Linked DNA regions of Arabidopsis thaliana. The protein of the gene in region 1 interacts with the protein of each later gene in a pairwise test. Each region holds a gene or a part of one and is shown on either strand. Other genes may lie near its edges.

Region 1 (11,344 bases):
AGCTTTGTATAGTTCATGGTTCATGATTAAGCCCAAAAGTTTAGTTCCCACCACCAACTAACACTTACAATAAACAAAATTAAGTATAAGTTTCCGGAATAGCCGCATAATTATTCTTCCTATTATATAGCAGAAGAATAGACCGGACAATTTATGCCCCTATGCTAATTTTCTTAAACTATTTTGCTTTCAACGTCGACTAATTAAATTTTGATTTAACCATTAAATGAGTGCAGCACTTATTTCTTTCCAACAATTAATAGTTTTAATATTTTGCTTATTGTTGATATGTAGCGAGAGCATCGGATATTTGTATTTCCTAACTTGCACCAAAAATCAGCCTACTACAAAGAAGTTTAATCGACCAAAACACCGCCATTCAACGAGGGACTCAGTAATTTGGATAATATCGCAACTAATCATAATTAATTCATTACAGTTACAAGAAAAGTGTCATGTTCATGAGTAAATACACTTGTGGTCTTTTTATAAGATTGCATGTGTTTGGTGTTTGTTATTTGGTACAAGAAATATCAACACTCATTTAATTATGTTAAGGTATAAGTCTATATCATATAACTCTTATTTGGTTATCTATCTGTTGTTTTCTTTTTATTTGGTTAAAGCATTCATTTTGCTTAATGTAGATTTTTTTTGAATCTTAATATCATGCAAACTTAAATATGTTTTCGTCTAAAGACTAACGTGCAGACTTTTCATTGTTTATTTTGTTTGTAATTTGGAGGACTCTTCAAACAAGAATAGCTTCGTTTATACAAGGTGTGTATTGGCGGACTCAAAAAGACTTTGAATGTTTCAGCATGGGAATTTTCAAATTTCCTGAAGCCATACCCATACACGGTGGTCCTATATTAATAATAATTACACTCACTGGAAATAAATGTTCTTCCGTTATTTTTATCAGCTTTTGCTTTACATTTTCTGCACTAATCGATTGCCTGTAAAGTTGTACCAGTTGAACGTCATCGGTATGTGCATTCATCATGATTCCGTGTTCAATTATGCATATATTAAGATCGAGCTGATCAATCTAGTTGATCCCATTTAAACCAAACTAAAACCGTATTTAAACTTTTAAATACTGCAAATCCAGGTCAAACAAAACTGAAACATATGATATTTCTTACACATTTTATAACTCAAAAATCCAAAAACCAAAAACAAACCGATAATTAAATATAAACAAATAATGTATTCAAAATAATCAATCCCGAGTTGGATTAAAAATTACTAAAACTACATGTTTTTTTTTGTTTTTGTTTTGAGGACTTATGTTTACTCCAAGTTAGAAGAAAGGAAAAATGCATTTAGGTAGCATATTTTGCATGTGAGCTACCACATTAAAGAATGAACTCATTGTATGATCAACATATTCTATAAAGAGACTTCATTGGTATAAATTTATTGACGTATAATCCGACTAAACTTTTCCATGTGTTTAAGAATTTTGACTATTCGAGGCAAACTTAACAAAACTAAATTCTAACAACAACAAAACGTGTTTCGAACGAAGTTTTAGTCTTTCTTTGACGCTGACTTAATAGTAAAGAAATATAGGTTCAAATGGATAATATGAGAAAATAACAAATAGCCTGATTTATATTCTTGAATCTTGACTAAAGTCCACAACACGAACTATTTGAACTGATTTATTTCGCATCCGCTATGAATAAAAACGGAGTCTATAATTGCTTATGTTGAAAAGTATATCGAACTATTGACGAAAGGCCATTACGAACCTCTTAAGGATGATGGGCCTTTACACAATTTACCCAATTCAATGGGCATGTTAGAGCAACCTTAATAGTAGGCTCTTAATTTTATCTCTCGACTATTATGATGAATTGTTTTATTGAAAAAAATTATAGCTAAGAGTTTTTGTAATGGTTTGAAGCTCTTAAACCTTCTTTTATCTCTTAGAAACACTTCTAAACTATTCACATATCATTTTGATTAATTATACCTAAGAGTTATAGTAAGAGACTTGCAATAAGGATGGTCTTACAACTTTAAATGCCTTTTATTTATTGCCATTAGATATTAGAATTCAAAATTAACCAAATTTAACGAGTTAAAAAAATTTCAAAAGATTCTTTAAACGTTAGTTTCACTTTCATTGGTTACTAAAACTACCATTTGCATCAATGAATAAAATTGTTGGAAAGAGGCAAGTGGATGTGAAAGCTAATTTAAAAGATACTATGCATATCTTTATATAACAACTTGGAATGTTACACTCCTAATACTTTTGTTGATAATTTATAACAACATAGAATAATTGATTAGACTATTTTTAGTAACATGTTATCTCATACGATCTCTTTTAACCAGTTGACGAAAGAAAAAACGTCACTCTTAGTATTAAAAAGTTATGATATTAGTATTAATTTTTCAGGATCTTTCTAATACTGTTGACTTACTATATATATGTGATGTTTATATGAAAAATGTAAAATATATATGATTTAAATTTGTGGTGTGTACAAAATGTAAAGTTGAACAAAAATGAGAGGCTTATATTTAGATGCTACGCTTGATATGTAGGTGACTTCTGATGCACAATAATACACTATGAACCATTGTATATTGTTAAAATGATCATATAAGATATTTATTTTTGGTTCTTAAAGAAAATAATTAATGTGTATTAATTTTTCAAGATCTTCCTAATTATGTTGACTTCGACTATATATGTGATGTTTATGAGAAAATGCAAAATTGAACAACAAAGAGAGGCTTATAATTAGATGCTACGCTTGATATAGATACTTCTAACGCCCAATAAGCCACCAATAATACACTTTGAACCATTGTATCTTTTTTAAATGATCATAAGATATTTAATTTTTTTATTCGTAAAGGAAAGAATTAATGGCTCAGAGTAGTGATCAATACTTTAATTTTATGAATTTGAAAAAGAAAAGCTGAAGAAGATGCTAGCACATTACTTTTTATTGCTTATTAGTATTCGATGTTTGGTTTCTGAAGTTTCAATTCCCTTTTGATATAGTTTAACAATCGTTGAATAAAATCAAGTTGTCCAAAAATCCTAAATGAAACAATATCAACCGTTGCACTACTCTCTCCTTAGTAATTAGCATTCTTTTGAAACACGTACATAATTAGAGAAAAAAAAGTGAAACAAAGTTAAAATTAATGATATAAATTGAAATTAACTCAATGAGATTTCGGCGTATGATCCATCCCAGCTACCATTAAAATCACACATAGAGGATACATAGTCGGTCAAGCTAGTTGAGGGACTATAGTAATTTGTAAAGATTTTGTTCTTCATGCGGATTTAGTCGTCTTTTTGCGTCACTGTGACTAGATGCACACTTTTTCCAGACATAGCAACGAATCTAGAACCTGAATTATTTATTTATCAACGGTGATAGATAAGTTATAAGGAAAAGCTTGAATGTGGCTCTTAACGATTGATACCAATCGTAAAATGTGGGTTTTGCAAGCTGTAAATCTCATTGCATGGATCTGATACCTTTCTTCTTCATTTTTACCTTTTTCCTTTCATGTTTCTCGTGTTTCACTTTTCTTCAACACACACACTTGTTTATAATCTATCTATATATAAGCTTTGGTTACATGATATCTAAATCGTTCCATTGTGTTTTGCCACACTTATAAATAACATATAATTACAATTCAAATAAATATACACTAATGTCTAACATTCGTCCATGGTTCCGTCTCTCTAGCATCGCTAGGCCTACAGCGCAAGGTTCAAGCGACCCACCTCCACCTCAACCTCGACCAACCTCTCGCAGTTCGCTCGTAGTCAGACCACCGGCAAAACAACCGTCACCTCCACGTCAGCGACAACCTCGTTCACCTCCACGTCAGCAAGATCCTCCTTCACCTCCACGTCAGCAGCAACAGCCTCTTACCCCTCCACGTCAGAAGGCTCCTCCAACTTCACCCCCTCAAGAGCGGTCCCCATATCATTCACCTCCAAGCCGCCACATGTCACCACCGACCCCACCAAAGGCTGCGACACCACCTCCGCCACCGCCTCGGTCGTCATACACGTCCCCACCATCTCCCAAGGAAGTTCAAGAAGCCTTACCACCGCGAAAACCGAACTCACCACCGAGTCCAGCTCATTCAAGTCGGTCTACAACATCTGAGTCAGTGAAAACTCGGTCTCCATCAGAGTCAGAGAATCATCGGAAAGCACCATCACCGAGAGTACTATCACCTTACTCTCTCCCAGCTTCTCTGTTACATTCCGAACGTGAAACCACTCAGAAAAACATTCTCACTGCCGAGAAAACAAGCCAAACCCACGAAACAAATCATCATAACCAGAATCATAACCATGACTATAACCAGAACCATAACTATAACCAAAACCATAGCTATAACCAAAACCAAAACCATCAAGGCAACAACCCCAAGAAGATGCATCGTCAACCATCTTCGTCCGATTCTGAGAACATAATGAGCACACGAGTCATCACCATTGCAGGTGAAAACAAAGGTGCAGTAATGGAGATCCTACGATCTCCTCAAGGCAACAAAACCGGTGGTTCAGGAACACATTCCTCTAGGGTTTCACACGGCACCGGAGAGAAAGGACGGAGACTTCAAAGCAGCAGCAGTAGCAGCAGCGACGAAGGAGAAGGTAAGAAGAAAACGACGAAGAACGTCCCTAACAAAGGCAATAGTAACCTCCCAATGAAAGCTTTTATGAATAGTAACGTTCAGATGATAAACAACTCCATTGTCTACAACTCGACGGCATCTCATCATGATCCCGGCGTTCATCTTAAAATCTCCCGGAAACCTGGCTCCGACAATGGTTTTCATGTCAGTGATTACGGTAATAATGGCGGATACACCAACTGATGAAAGAAGAAAAAAAACTAAACTAAAATAAAAAAAAAGGTTTTGGATTTAAAATTGCAATAAATTCGATTTAATTAAAATAAATGAAAAAAAATAAAGAAAATATGAGTGGGGTTAATGGTTTCTGATTCTTCTCTAAAGCTTTTGGAACCCTCTCACTTATATGGAGGCTTTGATTCGTTTACTTAAAACGAACTTCTTTTTTTAATTACTTTTGTAAACGCGCGCATTGGTTCTCTCTGACGTAATTAATGAGAAATCAGTTATTGCTTTAATAATAATCATGAAACCCATATTATTGTGAAGGCCCGATGTATACTACATAAGCCCATATTCATACCTATGGGCCTATATAAACAATTTGTATTTACCGTAATATATTTACTTTTATCAATTGGGGTAACGATTTGGATAATTGAATCCAAAAGATTATTGTGCCACAAGCGACAAGTTTATGTGAAGAAAAGAGAACCAAACCTTGTATATTATTAATCAAATGACTTTCAAATCAACTCAAATGTCTAATTGGTTCCTGTGTCCGTTATGAGAAAAGCTCATGCTTCAATAAACCCTCTAATAAGATCACATTATTTATTTATACAAAAATATCCCAACCAATGTATATGCTTTTATATTTTTAATTTTTTTTGTAATGTAGAATCTATTCTACACAAATCGTTTTAGTGATTGTAACAGTATCTGAAAAAGAAGTGGGGAACTAAAGTGAGCATTTTGAATGCATAAAATAGAAATTGGAGGAGTTGAAAAGCCAGAGGGGTCTTTTATAAGCTGATTTATTCTTTATTAGTTCTTGAGTCGATTTTTGTGAATATTTAAAATTCACCAGGAGCAAATAAAAACATCACTACCTTATAAAATCATAATACAATACTTTCGAAAACTTATGCAATTGAATAAATTGGCCATATAATTAGGCAAAAGATAACAAGAAAAAATGTCCAAATCCCAAAAATTCGAGAACAAGAAGCAACTGACAAAGAGAAAGGAGAGTGAAGTGTCCAAATCCCAACAGTATGTGTGTGGTTTTGTGTGCTCTTCAAAAAGCTTTAGAGGGTACTTTGCATGTGCATATGCATATGCATTATGCATATAGTCCTCCTAATCTTTAATATTGTATCTTTGAGGATTTAATAGGTATCTGAGACCTTGCAAGTTGCAACTGAAGAATTTGAGTAAAGTTGGTCACAGATTATAAATCCGTAAATTATTACATTTTACAATTAATCCATTAGTAACGGATTGGCCATGTGATTTGGAATTTACAACTTAATAATGTTGTCAATAATTTAAGTATAGCTTGTTTCTGTCAAGAGAAATGGCAATGGCATAGCTTTTTACAATTTTGAAGATAATTTTACGTCAACGTTCTAAAACGTTGATGATTATCACTCTGAAAATTTGACGCTAGGGTTTGAATACATTATTGTTGATAGTGAAGAATGATCCGCGATGACATTCCGCGACATTTATATTATAGTGACCACAGTGACCGAATTGCTTCCACTATATTTGGACCCTTCTTGAGGGAATCCAAAGCTGGTGAATATGACATTTTCAAATAAGATATTAAAATTGTACGTCCATTTTTAAAAATTGATTGAAACCAAAACTTTCGCTTTAATGCAGCGAATTTTTCCTTTGATGTCTAATCAAATGATACAAACACTGAAAGCAACAGAAGTCTACCAACAAGATTACAAGAAATGAACCACGGAAAGATCAAGGAGGCACTGAAAATTAGTATTAAAATTTTCTTGTCAAACTTTGATAATTTATAAGTAATCGGGTCAAAAAGCAATTTCTTAATAATTAAGGGTGGGACAACGAATAGTGTGACGACCAGATTAGCAAGTGACATGTGGCACCTACTTATTGGCCTTGCCTCCCAAAAGTCAGACCGATCCAACCCACTCTTTGTAATTAACACGTGTCAGAAGCTGAAGGACTCTCCTATATGATTTATTTAATGTCTTAATAGATTTCTCATTTCACACTATCCTTTTTTGCTTGAGAACTTTCTTCACTCTTTCAACTGCTAAGAAGAAATAGAGAAAACTATGACGGTACGTAAATTTTGTTGTTAATTATTTTGCTTTAATCCTTTTTTCATATAGTTCGTAATTATAAATCTATAATTGTTTTCCGGGATTTTTCGAAGATCTTTAACTGGGTGCAGAAAAAGCTGCACCAAAATGTCATCAAAGGTTAGTTTTTTTTTTTATAGATAATCAATATCAGCTTTATTTTATAAAAAAATAACAAATTTGCTTTATTTTCCCTTTGTTTATTAGAATATCGTAAGCTTCACTAAAATAGTAGTTTACTTTTTGTAGTAGTATCATATAGGATCATGTGGTTCCCTGTTTAATAAATAGTTTTATATTAACGTATACCACGTTTTCGCTAAAGCATAAATTTTGTCCAACCTATATTTATTTTCATATGGTGAAAGAAATAGATGGTGTGAGGAAAAACGAGAAGAAGAAGAGGAATGAAGGAATAAGTGAGATTGAGAAGAACACGAAAGCTATATTGGATCAAGTTGGTTTAGTGGATGCTCTTGATAATTGGTTCGATGGAGTTCTCACCATCGGCACATTTGGCTTTGACACCTTGAACTTCAAAGAAGAAGATGAAATGGATGATGATGAATGCGGGAGTGGGGATCTCGACTACGTCGTAATTGATGGCAGCATCATCAAGAACGTCGACCAAGAGTCGGATCCTCTTATCTCCGTTGAAAATAAGTTTTATGATCATCATGAAGATGTCGGGGTACGTATTCTAATCAGTTCTATTGAGTACATTTTTATGATCCTCGGGTTGATTTACCAATAGAGAAGATTATATAGACATATGACATGCATATGCTTCAATTGTTCGTGTGCGTTTACGTTGATTTGATTAGTATATTCAAATGAATCCAAAATTTTAAAATCTTTAAACTAGTTTAATTGTTATTGTAGAAATAAGTTAACTAAAATGGAAGGATTATACGTTCACTAATCTACAAAAATTTGGGTTTTCTTTCAAAATATGACTTTAAAGACATATAAATGCAGAAATTGCATTTGAGTCAATCGAGATCGTCATTTTTTTTTCTGTCGACAATTAAGGCCATTATACGCAAAGAAATAAGTACATAAAATAAGTACATAAAATTATATCTTCTTGACTCTTGATATTGAATTTCTTGAGATCTTTCGTATTAGAATCTGTACGTACAGGCCGATACTGATCACTTTGGCTCGATCAAAACCGCTGAAACGCCAGCTGTCACGGCGGCAGCCGAGGCCGAGATAGAGCCACAGAAGAAGAGGACAACACTTGCGGAGCTTTTCATGGAGGACCACGACAAAGGTTATGACACGTGGCATTGCAAGAAACCCAATAACCCTAATCTTGACGGTGAGGAGGTTAAGTACTATAAACAAAACGGTTCAAAACTAAGCAAGAGGTTCTCGTTTGTTAAGAAGAAGCTGGTCATGTCAAAGTCCAAAGAGGAAGAAAACGACTTACGTCCAATCAAGAAAATGCGTCAGGTATTTAAATTTGTTTTAGTCAATTCCGTAACTATGAAACATTGATGATGATGGATATATGAACATGTTACATGTGCCTCTATAGCTCAAGGGAAACAATGTCACGTCAAGATCTAGATAATTATTCGTGCATGTTACAATTACATCACTTTTGTTGCTTCATAAGTGTACTCATATGTGAGTAAATATTCATTCGATGTCAACAAGTATAGCATCATTATATATGTGTATATATTACTGTAGATGATAAAGAGGATGTTGAAGAAGAAGATCCATCCAGATGTCGATGCAACTAAGGCTTTAAAGAAGGACGTTCCATACAAGCCAACTCGGAACTGTGAAGCTCTCGAGTCACATTATCTTCTTAAAATTCAAGGTTTGTATTTCTTAATTATTTTGGTTTAGGGGTTCGATATGATTTATTTCTTTCATTTGCTCGTATATATATGCTTTGTGGACAGATTGCGTGGCCTAGAAGTCTAAGAACGACGACATCGTACAAGAGCAATCTCTGGATCTATTGTTCTACTCCCTATAATATATGTGATTTTTTTGTTCTTATTTCAGAATGTGTTGGTATTGTTATGACTGTTGAGATGTATTGCTTTCTTCTTACAAACATTACTAAGTTGTTAGTATTTGTTCCTGTTATGCATATTGTATTTTATTACTATGTCATATGTTTTCTTATTTATACGTATATCAATGCATCGTTCTAAAATCGTGGATTGTCGTGAATCTGTGATAGTATTCCATCATGTCTGCTATAGCTTGGTCAGTTTTGAAGAAATTTCAAACCTAAAGTCATAAACTGATAAAGGACTAAATTATCCTACTCAAAACAGAAAGCCCTTTTGTGCGTTATTGGGCCTAATCAGAAAAGTGATTTTGAAAAAGGGCCTAATCAGAAAAGTGATTTTGAGGCTTTTTAAAAGTTTAAAGTAAACAAAAGAAAATTGAGGCTTGACTTTTCTTTCTTTTTTTGACTTGTTTTCTTTTTTCCTTTTTCTTATAAGAGAAAACTAAAACGTGAAAGAGCTTCACCAACCTGAGGTCGCTGACCACTTGGAGGCATTCTCAGCTACCAATCCATTAACTTACAAACTCCATATTCTTCACGTTTTACTATGGTAGGTACCTTTTTTTAACCTTGTTCGTAATAACAATTTTATACGAAAAGAATAGTATTAAACTTCAACAAAAACAACTATGTATATTAACTGGTCAGATATACATTGCTTTGTTCCCTTACATCTTCAAAGAGCTAAGATTAAACTATTTACCCCAAATAAGACTGTAATTTCATCAAAATCTAGTAATAATAATATTCAACAGCTTACAATATAAACATAACGCGTGTGGTCTCCATAAGCTACGCACTGTCTTTTCATCGGTTCGTAGAAACTAGAAACTCTTCCCCTCACGATCTTGCTTTCTTTATTTTGCTTCAACCCTAGTTTATTTGAAGTCTCTATATAAAGTTCTCTGTTTCAAGTTACTTTCTCAGCACGAGCAACCAAAAGTAATCATATGGCGAATCTAATTTCGTTTCACGATGTGGCTAAACATAAGTGCAAGAACGATTGTTGGATTCTCATCCATGGAAAGGTCCATATTTCTACTTTCTTTAAATCACGTAAACAAATTTATAGATTATAAATGCTCTGTTTTTTTAGCTTTATACTTGTTTCTAAACACATGTTTATCCACAGGTCTATGACATCAGCACTTTCATGGACGAACATCCCGGAGGTGACAATGTTCTCCTCGCCGTCACCGGTACGTACGAGTACGAGTTGGTTTATTCCGGTTTAGTTTGAATTTATCGGTTTGTAATTTTGTGAGTTTTTATGAAAATTTAAAGGGAAAGACGCGTCGATCGATTTCGAAGATGTGAACCATAGCAAAGATGCCAAGGAGCTAATGAAGAAATACTGTATCGGTGACGTTGACCAGTCAACGGTTCCGGTGACGCAACAGTATATTCCGCCGTGGGAGAAGGAATCTACGGCGGCGGAAACAACTAAAGAAGAATCTGGAAAGAAGCTGCTTATCTACTTAATTCCTCTCTTGATACTCGGCGTTGCTTTCGCTCTCAGATTCTACAACAACAAGTAGACCAAATTATGATGAACAGATTGATAAGAGTTTCTTACTGTTCTTGGTTTTCGTTTGTTGGTAATAACGGGCTTCTTATGTGAAGATTTGGGCCATTTGGCCCATCGCTCAGAATTGGACTATAATGTCTTATTTATTTTATGTTAATGGGCCGTATCAGTAGGCCCTTTGTTGATATATGCCAATCCCAATTTCTTCTAGCATGAGCTTTGTGTTATTTACTTGATTTTGATAAAACAACCAACTTATGCAGTAGATTCCATTTGACGAAAAAAAATAAAAATAAAAATGCAGTAGATTCCATTAAATTCGTACTTAATAATAAAAATGGGTGAGGGCATACTTACAAAGAAGGAATGTGTGTCAGTGTGTGTCAAAAATATGACACAGACACAGAATTATTTTTAGCAAAAACGTTCCACATAATTTCAACCTTTATACTGTCGGTTATTTTTTGCCACTTTAAAGACACAGAATTCAATGTGTCATAAAAAAGGACACAAAGAAATGAAGAATGTTGGTTTTTAATTTACTAATTCGAGAGGGGATTTATTAATCAAATTTCGAAATGTAATGTTAGTATTTCTATATTATATTACTAGAAGACGATTAAAAATATGAGAATATTTTTCTTAAGTAAAGTTTTTTTTTCTTTTTTAAACCGTGTAATGTTAATTGTTTGGTAAAACAAACCAAACATTCGTGTTTCTATGCAACTTATTAAACAAGTGATTGTTATTATATATAATAAAAAAAAACGTTTCCGGAGTGATAGT
Region 2 (11,344 bases), 8.0 Mb from region 1:
TCAAACCCAGACCCAAACCCATGCCCATACACAAATCACGAATGCCTAGGCTTACTTGTGACCGAAACCGAATTGAATCATATATAGTTTCAGGTCACCTGTTGCACAATCTCTGCTCAGCCCTAAAAGCTTACTCCTTTCAACTTTCTGGAGGCCTTCTCGTAGCCTAGCGTCATAGATGGATTTGATGGAGAAGAACTTGGAGTTAGTGGAGATTCAGAAACTAGAAGGCCACACCGATCGTGTTTGGAGCGTAGCTTGGAACCCCGTTTCTTCTCACGCCGACGGTGTTTCACCGATTCTTGCTTCTTGCAGTGGCGATAACACTGTTCGAATCTGGGAACAAAGCTCTCTCTCTCGCTCCTGGACTTGCAAGGTCTCTATCTCATTTCTCTTTCTCGCAAGAAAGTTCTAGCCTTTTTTGGACCTAGCAAGTTCAATTCACAAAAATCTATTGATTCTCTAGATCAGTCTTACATTACAATTTGTGGGTTTTGTTTCGATTCACTAAAGAGATTAACTTGACCTTAAACATGGAATCGACTGGTGATTTGGATATGGTGTAGGACTGTTGTGTTAGTTCTTGTGCTATTTCTCTAGAAAGATTTATTGATTGTATATTGTGAATCTTCAGACAGTTTTGGAAGAGACGCATACAAGAACTGTGAGGTCGTGCGCTTGGTCACCCTCAGGACAGTTATTGGCCACTGCAAGTTTTGATGGTACCACTGGCATTTGGAAGAATTACGGTTCTGAGTTTGAGTGTATTTCCACTTTGGAGGTACTTTCTAGCCCAATCCTTGAACCATCCACAAATTGTCAAATTCTTATCCAGAATTAGTTCTTTGAACCTGAAAGCATAACTTTTCACAGCTCCTGTTTGCTCTTTTGACTTTGTTCTTTCTTGATCTTTAATGCTAAGCTCAAACTCTCATGGAGTTTTTCAGTGTTCACTTCATAGTTCATATTTAATTATGCTCAAAGCTTTTGGTGGTTTTCTTGTACTGTCTTTATGCTTTGTATCGCACGTTTTTGGCTAGTAGAATCTTATTAAAAAAAATGTGTGTAGGGACATGAAAACGAAGTCAAAAGTGTATCATGGAATGCATCTGGTTCATGCCTTGCAACATGTAGTAGAGATAAGTCTGTTTGGATTTGGGAAGTGCTTGAAGGGAATGAATATGACTGTGCTGCGGTATTAACTGGGCATACACAAGATGTGAAGATGGTTCAGTGGCATCCCACCATGGATGTTTTATTTTCTTGCAGTTATGATAACACCATCAAGGTAATGCGAATACTCTAATTAGGTTTTAGTAATGCAGAACTTGAAATTTATTACACAAAAAAAAAAAAATTATATAATTGAATAACGCTAGTGGCGTGCTACTCACAGGTTTGGTGGTCTGAAGATGATGATGGTGAGTATCAATGTGTCCAAACCTTAGGTGAATCTAACAAGTATATCTTCTACTTTTTCTTATATGCTTTCGATTTTTTTCTTATTAGGCTCTTACTTTTGAAGTAGTAGATTAATATATGCCTTTCTTCTTCAAACAGCGGTCACTCTTCAACGGTATGGTCCATCTCATTTAACGCTGCAGGGGACAAGATGGTCACTTGTAGGTTAGTGAATCTTCTCTCCTTGTCTCCCATAGGCATTCTAGAAGCAATGTAATCTGTCTCTTGGGATATTGTTCTTACAGTAGCAAGCTTGCCTGAATGTGTATTTGCAGTGATGATCTAACCTTGAAGATATGGGGGACAGATATTGCCAAGATGCAGTCTGGTGAAGAATATGCACCTTGGTGAGAAAATAGTGGGTTATTACATGTAATCGAATTTATTTGTTTCTTACGTTTAGAGCTGGACGTAGTATGTAGCCTACAAGATTATTTGACTTCTTCAAGAATTTTTCTCCGTCCAATTTTGACTAATGTAATCCTTACTTGCTCGGACTTTGCAGGATTCATCTTTGTACTCTCTCTGGCTATCATGACCGTACCATATACTCAGCTCACTGGTCAAGGTATTGACACCTCACATGTTTTCTTTAAAGCATCGTGTAACTCTGCCTAATTTCTAAATCTGCCAGCCTAAAAGGAAAAACTCTTTGTTGTACCTGATATTTACGCTCCCAGTCATCTGTCGAATGCATCCAAATTGGGATTTTTAATGCTCTTTCGTGAGACTGTGCTGAGTTTAAACTCAGTTTTGTTTTGTTTTCTTTTTATTTTAAATTTTTGACAGGGACGACATTATTGCCAGTGGAGCAGGCGATAATGCTATACGGTTGTTTGTGGACAGCAAACATGACTCTGTAAGTTGAATTTGGTTAATATCTTTCCATATATACACGCCTAACTTACATATCTCAATACAAGAAACCAAATGCAGGCAGCAGATTCTATCTCTCCTAGTCTTGCCAATGGTTTACCACTATACAATTAAACTTTTCTGCTTCATCTTTGAACTTAAAGTCATTCTTTTGTGTACCAGGTTGATGGACCTTCATATAATCTTTTGCTGAAGAAGAATAAAGCACATGAAAATGATGTAAACTCTGTCCAATGGTCACCCGGTGTAAGTTCCATGTTTCTTATGAAGTAATAGACACAAGTGCATACTATTTCGTACTTGATACATGGTTGCAATGATTAAGTATAGTCTATATGGCATCTTATAAATGTGAATTAGAAGTTAGAACATAATACTCAAGCTTAGTTTTAGGATCAGAGAAATGATGCCATTGATTACTCGACTTACATTGGCCCAAGTACATGTGGTTATGTTGTCTATGATTTTGACCTTGGAATTGTAACCTGCTACAGGAGGGGAACCGGTTGCTTGCGTCGGCTAGTGATGATGGGATGGTCAAGATTTGGCAGCTTGCAACTAAACCGTGACTGCTGTTGGTTTGGATAGGTTCTGAAACTCCTGTGTTGTTTTACTTTTTCTGAGGTCTATCTGTAAACAACATAACATTTTAGGTAGAAGAGAACTCTATACTATTTTGTCATACAAGATTAGCTCCATGATGTTTCATACGATTTCTGTTTTACTTTTACTACGATCACTTAAGTTTTAACACTGTTGGTACAACTTTGTGGAATTTAATAAACAACTTTTTGACGAAACAAAAAATACATAGCTGATATCGTACAACTTTGGAGAAACTTCTTTTTTCCATATAAATAGCAAATTTAGATGCAACTCATATGGTTGCTGCTTGTGCTTGTAAGATCTTACAATATTTTTTCTTTTTGTTAATACCTAACAATACATTTATTTGGATATTGTATGTTTTTTTCTTAAGGGCCTCCGAATATGTATATTTTTTTCCTTTACTATGACACATCACCTCTAAATAATCTACGGATTAGGAAAAAGAGAACAATTTTTTAAGATTAACATAATTTTGGAGTTGAAAGCTAGATGGTGCCGAAAGGAAAAGAGAACAATTCTTAAGATTAACATAATTTTGGTGATACATCATATTTATATTTCTCTCATACTGCTTCAAGTAATTATGTTCTTAAAACAGTAAGTAGCAATTATGAACCAGGCAAAGAGTAGTAGCGAGAACGAAGAGAGACCGATGAGGAATGGCCAGCCGACAAGCACCACCCCCAAAGACGTGACCACAGCACATGGCAGAAACGAGCGGACTACTGATGAACCATTGATCCATTTCCCTTTGATCATAAGTAAAATAGCAACATTCACCATATTCCACTCCATTGAGCCACCATAGCAAAGACGGTTCAAACAGTTTGCAACAAACGAATGGCAGTTACAAGTGAAGATGTTGTAGGTTTTATGCTCAAAGCTACGTGTGCTCGAGCTCAGTGCATTATCCCATGTACGCGCTGTTCCAAAGTCGGTGTGTTTGAATCCATACTTGCAAGTATGTCCACCCATATTTGGTGGTAAGCAACACTGCCACAAACACACACATTTGATAAAGATTAAAAAGTTCTTATAATTTGATACAAAACTAACAAAGTCCATGCATAACCAGATTCTACTTAATAAAGAAGCAGATACTAATACCTTGGTTCTATCGAGTTGGAGATAGCGAGCAGGAGGACCAAATGCAAAATCATCAACATTGATGAAGTTAGATCCAGCAAAGTCCAAAATGACTCCATCTTCTCTGCAAAGTCCAATATGACCAATGAAAGGAGCCAACCAAGAGACAACAGGAAGAGGAGTCCAAACTATACAGCAAGGAAATTTCGACTTCTTGGTATCAATCTCAGGTAGTGGCCACAGATCAGCCTCATCAGCTTCGATTATTGATGGTATAGACACGGACACCACCCTGTCTTCAACATCATAACTTCGTTTCAGGTCCATCATAGGAACTCCTCTTCCACGTGACATTTTTAGATTCCTAATCACACAAGACAAGAGCAGTCTGATCATTATAGTCCAAACAAAGAGCGACCCATTTACTAAAAGAATCGAAAGTTAAAATCTTTTGATCAAAATGAAGCAAAAGTTTCAATCTTTTTAACAAAGCATGTCCGTATATTCATTCTCACAGCACTAATTGTGTAGTAATCTCCTAACTTGAGCCTAATTCAGATTTTCAGCATTGTGGGTTTCTCTGTAAATTTCACCGGAAACTAAACAAAACCCATCAAAAGCATTTCCGTAGAAAACAGTAAAAATCACAACAAAAAATCATAATGGAAAGCTAAGAAGCAGGGAATAACAGTGGACTGTGTTTTACATTTACCTGTCGGAAACTCCGACGCCGATGTCTGAAGGATCGACGCAGAGAGGAAAAATCGATGAAAGTGATGCGAGAGCTTGGAGAAGGAGAAGAAACTGATGCTTTGTGGAATTTGATGAAGAAAGAGGAGATTTTTATAATTGGTTTTCTAAAGTAACGCTTCTTCTAGTTTTAGGAATTCATTGAAGACAATGGAGAAAGGTACAATGAACCTTTGGTTGTTTATCAATTACTGCACTGTCTTAATTTTATTATTATATACTAAGTTAATTATTTTAAGGAAAAAGGGACGTTTGCTTTATCAAAACTTTGAACAAAAAAAAAAGATCTACGAATTGCAGTTTTACTAGAAAATTTTGAAATATTTGAATATCCTTCTCAATTGCAGTTTTACTATCAGAATCCAGAGCTACGAAATTATAAAATTTGTATTTTCAGTAATAAAAGCTCAAATACTGAAGAGAATCCAATGTTTTTTTTTTGTAACAAAGAAACCGATGTTTATATATTTAGTTTCCGTAAAATTTGGAGTCAATCTATAAAACTCAAATCTCTTGAACGATTATTTCTAATTTGTCGTGTTTGATTACCGTTGTCGTTATTCATTATGGTTGGATAAATGAACACATGGAAACCTCAATCTCTATTATAGGTATAGAGTGACATCGTATTTATGACAATTCGACAATTGTTTATGTTTTTCTGTCGGACGTAACGGTTTTAAGAATCGAGAAAACTTTCTTGATTTAGGGTCCTTGCATCTATCATTCGTGTTTGCCTTTTTGAGACGAATCATGTGCATGCGAGTCAGATGATCTGACAACTGACAAACAGAGAATCCGATGTTTAAATATTTAGTTTCCGCAAAATTTGGAGATGACTTATGAAACTCATAACTCTTGACCGATCAATCTTAATGTGTCTTATTGATTACCGTTGTCGTTATTAATTATGGTTGGATAAATGAACACATGGAAACCCTAATCTCTATTATAGGTATAGAGTGACATCGTATTAATTAATAACAATTCGATAATTGTTTATATATGTCTGTCAGACCTAACGGTTTTGAGAATCTAGAAAACTTTTTTTATTTAGGGTTCTTGCGTCTATCACTAGTGTTTGTCTTTTTGAATCAAGCCACATATGCTTTACAAGGTTGATTTGTTCTTAAGAGAAATGTCAGGTGCTCTAAAATAGTGATAAAGCGTAGGATAGATGAGTTGTTTGCTAGAGAGGTAACCGAACAGGGCTCGATGAGAATATGCTCCTTTAATCACCTTTCGGAAGAAAAAAAAAAACAAGCATTAGTATATAGGATAGGAAAAAATCATTATGAGGTTGGTCCTCTCAAAGATTCAGTGAGAGTCTAGTTAGAATGAATTAATGTGGCTATACAGAAAATCTATTTTCTGTGAGGAAATACAGGTTTTGGTTCAAGGACTTAGGGCATCTCTAATGATGACCTCTATATTTTCCTCTATTTATAGAGGTGACCATTGGAGATGGTTTTAGTATAGGTGATCTAATGTCCAATCTGATATTTAGTAGAATAATGCTACAAGTCTGATTAGTGGCAATTGAAAAAATTAGCAGAAACATAAGAGCATCTCCCATGTCCTACCTTTATTTTTTTTCACTATTTTAGAGTTGATTTTGTTCCAATGTGTGTCTCTAAAATAGAAAAGATTAGCATTGGTTAGAACTGCTTTTTGTTTTTTTTTGGCCAAAATGTAGAAAAGTGAAATTAAATTTTAACTCTACCAAGTTCCTAGTTTTCTTTGGAAAGGAAGTTCAAGTTGGTATTAAGCTTTTTTTTATAAAAAAAAATCTAACTCTACCCAAAGGAGAGAGAAAAAATAACTACTTCAAAATTTAGATTCCTTTCCTTTAATATTTGGTTGTTTCTTTCACTAAATTTTTTTGTCTCCTTCACTTCCACTTTTTACTCTACATGCAACCATTCAGAACCTATATGTTGTCAGTCAGTTTGTTTATAAAACCTAGAATTATGGTTATTTTGCCAAATTTCCTAATTATAAAATGAAACAATAAATATCCTAAGAATTCAAACTTTTTTCAAAGAGATCATATGGCATAAATATAACCACGATGGTGATCACATCATCCAAATGGAATGTTATACGTATAAGAAAGTGGAACATAAAGAAATGTATTTTATTAAATAAATGAGGGAAGAACTTAGGACTACGTATGTACATTGTACAGGAAGTGAAAGTGAAAGTGATGATGAGGCTGGGAAGAGAAGTAAAAGCCAGTAAAGATACGTTTCTGGATCCGGTATGAGTCCGAATCGCCCCATTGTGGGTTTTGGTGCGAGTGCGAATCGCTTCATAGTGGCTTCATTTAAGCAGACACTGCAGCTGCAGCCTGTTCTTCGTTCGCCGGTTGGAGAGTGCACACCAGATTACGGTCTCCATACACGTTGTCCACTCGCCCTGTTTCACACATATTTAATACATTTTGAAACGATTTACAAATAACAAATTGTTTTCTATGGGAAATGCCACCCCTAGTTTTCAAGTACCTGTAGTGGGCCAGAACTTGGAGGAGCGGAGCCATGGAGCGGGGAAGGCTGCGTATTCCCGTGAATACGGCTTTTTCCATGTATCTGCCATTAGCAATGACGGAGGATGTGGAGCACCCTGTGTGTGTTTGTTTTTTAAAGTTCATTAGTATCAGACTAGAGGGCTAGTCCGAACTGAAATTGTGGTCTCAAATTTTTTCTTACCTTCAGAACGTTGTTGTTTGGATCTGCGTTTCCTTTCTCAATCTGTGAAATCTCTTCCCTGATCGAGATGAGAGCATCACAGAACCTATCTAACTCAGCCTGAAATATTACATATATATATACAAATTATGAAGCCATGTTTTAGAGACTGAGAGCTGAGTCAGTGAGAGATTTGCAATGCAATGCAAGACATAATTACCTTGCTTTCGCTTTCGGTTGGCTCGATCATAAGCGTTCCAGGGACAGGCCAAGACATTGTCGGTCCATGGAAACCATAATCCATCAATCGTTTGGCCACATCCTCTGGTTCAATTCCAGCAGTGTTCTGAGGACATTGAACAAGACATTGATTTAGCATGTACAACCAAAAAACAGAGCATTTACTCAAACGAGATAAAGAAACATACCTTGAATCCTCTCAAGTCAATGATGAATTCGTGAGCGACTGTTCCATTGACACCACGGAAAAGAACTGGGTAGTGGCTCTGAAAGACAAGAAAGCATAAGTGAGGTTGCACAAGAGAAGAGACGTTCACTCTCTTTAAAGAGTTGTCAAGATAAGATAAGGTACCTCCAGACGCTTTGCCATGTAGTTAGCGTTCAAAATTGCAATCTTTGAGGCATCGGTGAGTCCTCCAGATCCCATCATGGCAATGTAAGTATACGAGATTGGCAAGATAAGCGCAGACCCCCATGGTGCTGCAGAAATGGTTCCCAGCGGTGATGTCTGCTCGGGTTCAGGGATACCACCGGTAGGTATCTGTAGCAGAGTAAACAGAATGAGTACAAAAAAGCAGATAACTCAATCATTGAGAAAGATGGATTAGCGATCATAACATATAAGAATTAACACTAACCACTGGGTGAGAAGGTAGGAATGGAGCCAAATGTTGCTTCACACCGATAGGGCCCATTCCGGGACCTCCACCTCCGTGAGGGATACAGAAGGTCTTGTGGAGATTGAGATGGCAAACATCCGCTCCAATAAAACCAGGGCTTGTCAAACCCACCTGGAAGTTCCAAAAACTTTCTCAAATTCACAACTTTTGGATTCTTCAGTCAACATACCAGCAGAGAAACCATACCTGTGCATTCATATTAGCACCATCCATATAAACTTGGCCTCCATTTTCATGAATTATGTTGCAGATCTCGTCGATACCCTCTTCGTAGACTCCATGGGTGGAAGGGTATGTAACCTAATATTCAAACAGAAGTTGTAGAATTAGAAAGTGGATTGACCCAAAAGTGACATTGTTTCATCTATAGTGATGAAAGAAGTAAATACATACCATAAGAGCAGCCAAGTTGTCCTTGTTGGCTTCGGCGGCGTTCCTCAACTCTTCGATGTTAATGTTTCCTTTGGCATCAGTTCCAACGGCAACAATTTTCATTCCGCACATGGCAGCACTAGCAGGGTTTGTCCCGTGTGCAGAAACAGGTATGATGCACACATTTCTGTGATGATCGCCTCTTGACTGCATCATTTATTCACCCATTTACCAAATTTGTTGAAGTGCGAGTTCATATTGGAAAACAAGAAACTACAGGTATGCTTACCATATGATATGCACGGATAACCATGAGCCCGGCGTACTCGCCAGCAGCACCGGCATTAGGTTGCAATGAGAAAGAGTCGAATCCAGTGATCGTACATAAGAGCTCACCCAAATTCGTAAACATTTCCTATAAGTTGTCAAACAAAAAATTCAGTACGTAGTTAAATTTCTAGTCAGGTAAATCAAATATGTGGCCTCACCTGATAACCTTGGGCTTGTTCAACAGGAGCAAAAGGGTGCATGTTGGTGAAACTTGGCCATGTGACTGGCATCATTTCAGTGGTGGCATTCAATTTCATCGTACAAGATCCAAGTGGAATCATGCTGTGGCACAATGATAGATCTTTATTTTGTAACTTGTGGATGTACCTAAGCAACTCATGCTCCGTGTGGTACCTAACCAAATGTAAGAAAAAAGGGAAAGTAAATGTGAGGTACTTAACAATAAGCCACAGGGCAATGAAGGAACCAAGATTTAAAGAAGGTAACATACATGTTGAAGATTGGATGGGTCAGATAAGGGCTCTCTCTTGTTAGGCTAGAGGGAATAGCATTGTTAAACTCCGGTGCAAGAGACTCAGCCGTGAATTGAACCTTGTACATTGGAGAAAACATTATTTTAAGCAAACACGAAAAAAAAGAGTGAACAAGCGAGATGAATGGATATTAGCTTAAAGTAAACTCACGGGCTTGCCCGAAGCAAAAACTTCAAAAAGTTTATCGACATCATCCAAGGTGGTTGTTTCATCGAAAGCAACAGTAATCTTAAAGAACAAGAAAAAAAACCCATCAATGTTAATAATCATATCCAGATATTGAAGAAATATATATATATATATATATATATATATATATATGAAGAAACTCACAGTGTTGGAGTCCACAAGACGCAAATTGATCTCCTTCTTGGCTGCCACATCAAAAATTGCAGTTGCATCTGAACATGTAACTTTGACAGTGTCAAAGAAGGGAAGATCTTGGACTTGTGCAGTTCCCAGTTTCTTCAATCCTAAGGCAAATACACCAGCGAGACCATGAACCCGTTGTGCAATAGATTTTAAGCCTTCTGGTCCATGGTAAACAGCATACATAGCAGTCATATTTGCAAGCAAGGCCTACAATGTAGAAAACGATAATCAATAGCAAAATAGTTTGAAGATGTAAAATATGGTACTGCTCTCTCGGTACCTCTAATTCTTCCCGCTTTTGTTATCACTTATCAGTAATAGTCAAAGCGGTATACACTACATAAATCCTATAGAGTTTGAAGCCATTTTTACCTGAGCGGTACAGATGTTGCTGGTAGCTTTATCCCTGCGGATATGCTGTTCCCTAGTCTGCATAGCCATACGCAAAGCTTGCTTCCCGGAAGAATCAACACTAACACCAATAATCCTCCCAGGCATCATTCTCTTATACTCTTGTGAAGTAGCCAAGAAAGCAGCATGAGGACCACCATAACCCATCGGAACACCAAACCTCTGACCCGACCCAACAACAATATCCGCCCCAAACTCACCCGGCGGTTTCAACATCGTCAAAGCCAACAAATCCGTAGCCATAACAACCTTAACACCATTAGCATGAGCATTCTTAACAAACTCACCATAATCCAACACCTCCCCTTCAGTCCCCGGATACTGAACCAACACTCCACACACATCACCAGAGCTATAATCCACATCCTTAATATCAACCGTCACAACTTTCAAATCGAAACCATCCGCTCTCGTCTTGCAAACATCAATAGTCTGAGGATGACAATTACTAGCAATAACAAACGTCTTCTTCTTCCCCTTTAGAATATTATTACACATCGCCATTGCTTCCGCCGCCGCCGTACCTTCATCGAGCAACGAAGCGTTCGACATCGGTAGACCGGTGAGATCAGTAATAACCGTCTGGTAATTGAGCAGAGATTCGAGTCTTCCTTGAGAAATCTCAGCTTGATAAGGAGTATATTGAGTATACCAAGCAGGATTCTCCATTATATTACGCAAAATCACAGGAGGAACATGAGTGTTATAGTATCCCATACCAATGAACGATTTGAAAACTTTGTTCTTCGAAGCTAAATCACTCATATGCTCAATCATTTGACTCTCCGTTAATCCTTCATCAAATATCCCGGAAAACTTCATCGAATCTAACCGAATCGATTTCGGAACAGTCGAATCAATCAACGTGTTGAGATTATCGAATCCGCAGTAATTCGCCATCTGAGCTTGTTCATCCGGTGTTGCTGAGTTGTGCCGGCGCGGGAAAGTGTCGCTTGGCTTCAACGCATCGACG

Evidence for each region. The genes of interacting proteins can lie anywhere in the genome.
Region 2: the proteins of CB5-C (region 1) and RTE1 interact in a two-hybrid assay, tested with the Arabidopsis thaliana proteins (one study listed by BioGRID).

Annotation. Positions count from the first base shown.
Region 1 is NC_003071.7:19,141,827-19,153,170, forward strand, and holds CB5-C (cytochrome B5), read left to right. Parts: upstream 1-9,654; 5' UTR 9,655-9,980; coding exon 9,981-10,058; intron 10,059-10,162; coding exon 10,163-10,229; intron 10,230-10,314; coding exon 10,315-10,568; 3' UTR 10,569-10,913; downstream 10,914-11,344. Other genes in the region: AT2G46630 (serine/arginine repetitive matrix protein), read left to right, coding at 3,703-4,887; AT2G46640 (NAD-dependent protein deacetylase HST1-like protein), read left to right, coding at 6,966-6,971, 7,067-7,112, 7,361-7,683, 8,121-8,450, 8,694-8,855. UniProt on the Arabidopsis thaliana protein: Membrane bound hemoprotein which function as an electron carrier for several membrane bound oxygenases, including fatty acid desaturases.
Region 2 is NC_003071.7:11,102,222-11,113,565, forward strand, and holds RTE1 (protein REVERSION-TO-ETHYLENE SENSITIVITY-like protein (DUF778)), read right to left. Parts: upstream 4,968-11,344; 5' UTR 4,745-4,967; intron 4,397-4,744; 5' UTR 4,387-4,396; coding exon 3,520-4,386; 3' UTR 3,384-3,519; downstream 1-3,383. Other genes in the region: emb1345 (Transducin/WD40 repeat-like superfamily protein), read left to right, coding at 179-376, 635-781, 1,070-1,288, 1,397-1,461, 1,561-1,626, 1,737-1,808, 1,967-2,029, 2,251-2,320 and 2 more; GLDP2 (glycine decarboxylase P-protein 2), read right to left, coding at 7,109-7,200, 7,290-7,407, 7,494-7,592, 7,693-7,818, 7,901-7,978, 8,065-8,253, 8,351-8,503, 8,579-8,692 and 7 more. UniProt on the Arabidopsis thaliana protein: Acts at an early step in the ethylene signaling pathway. Positively regulates ETR1, leading to the negative regulation of ethylene responses.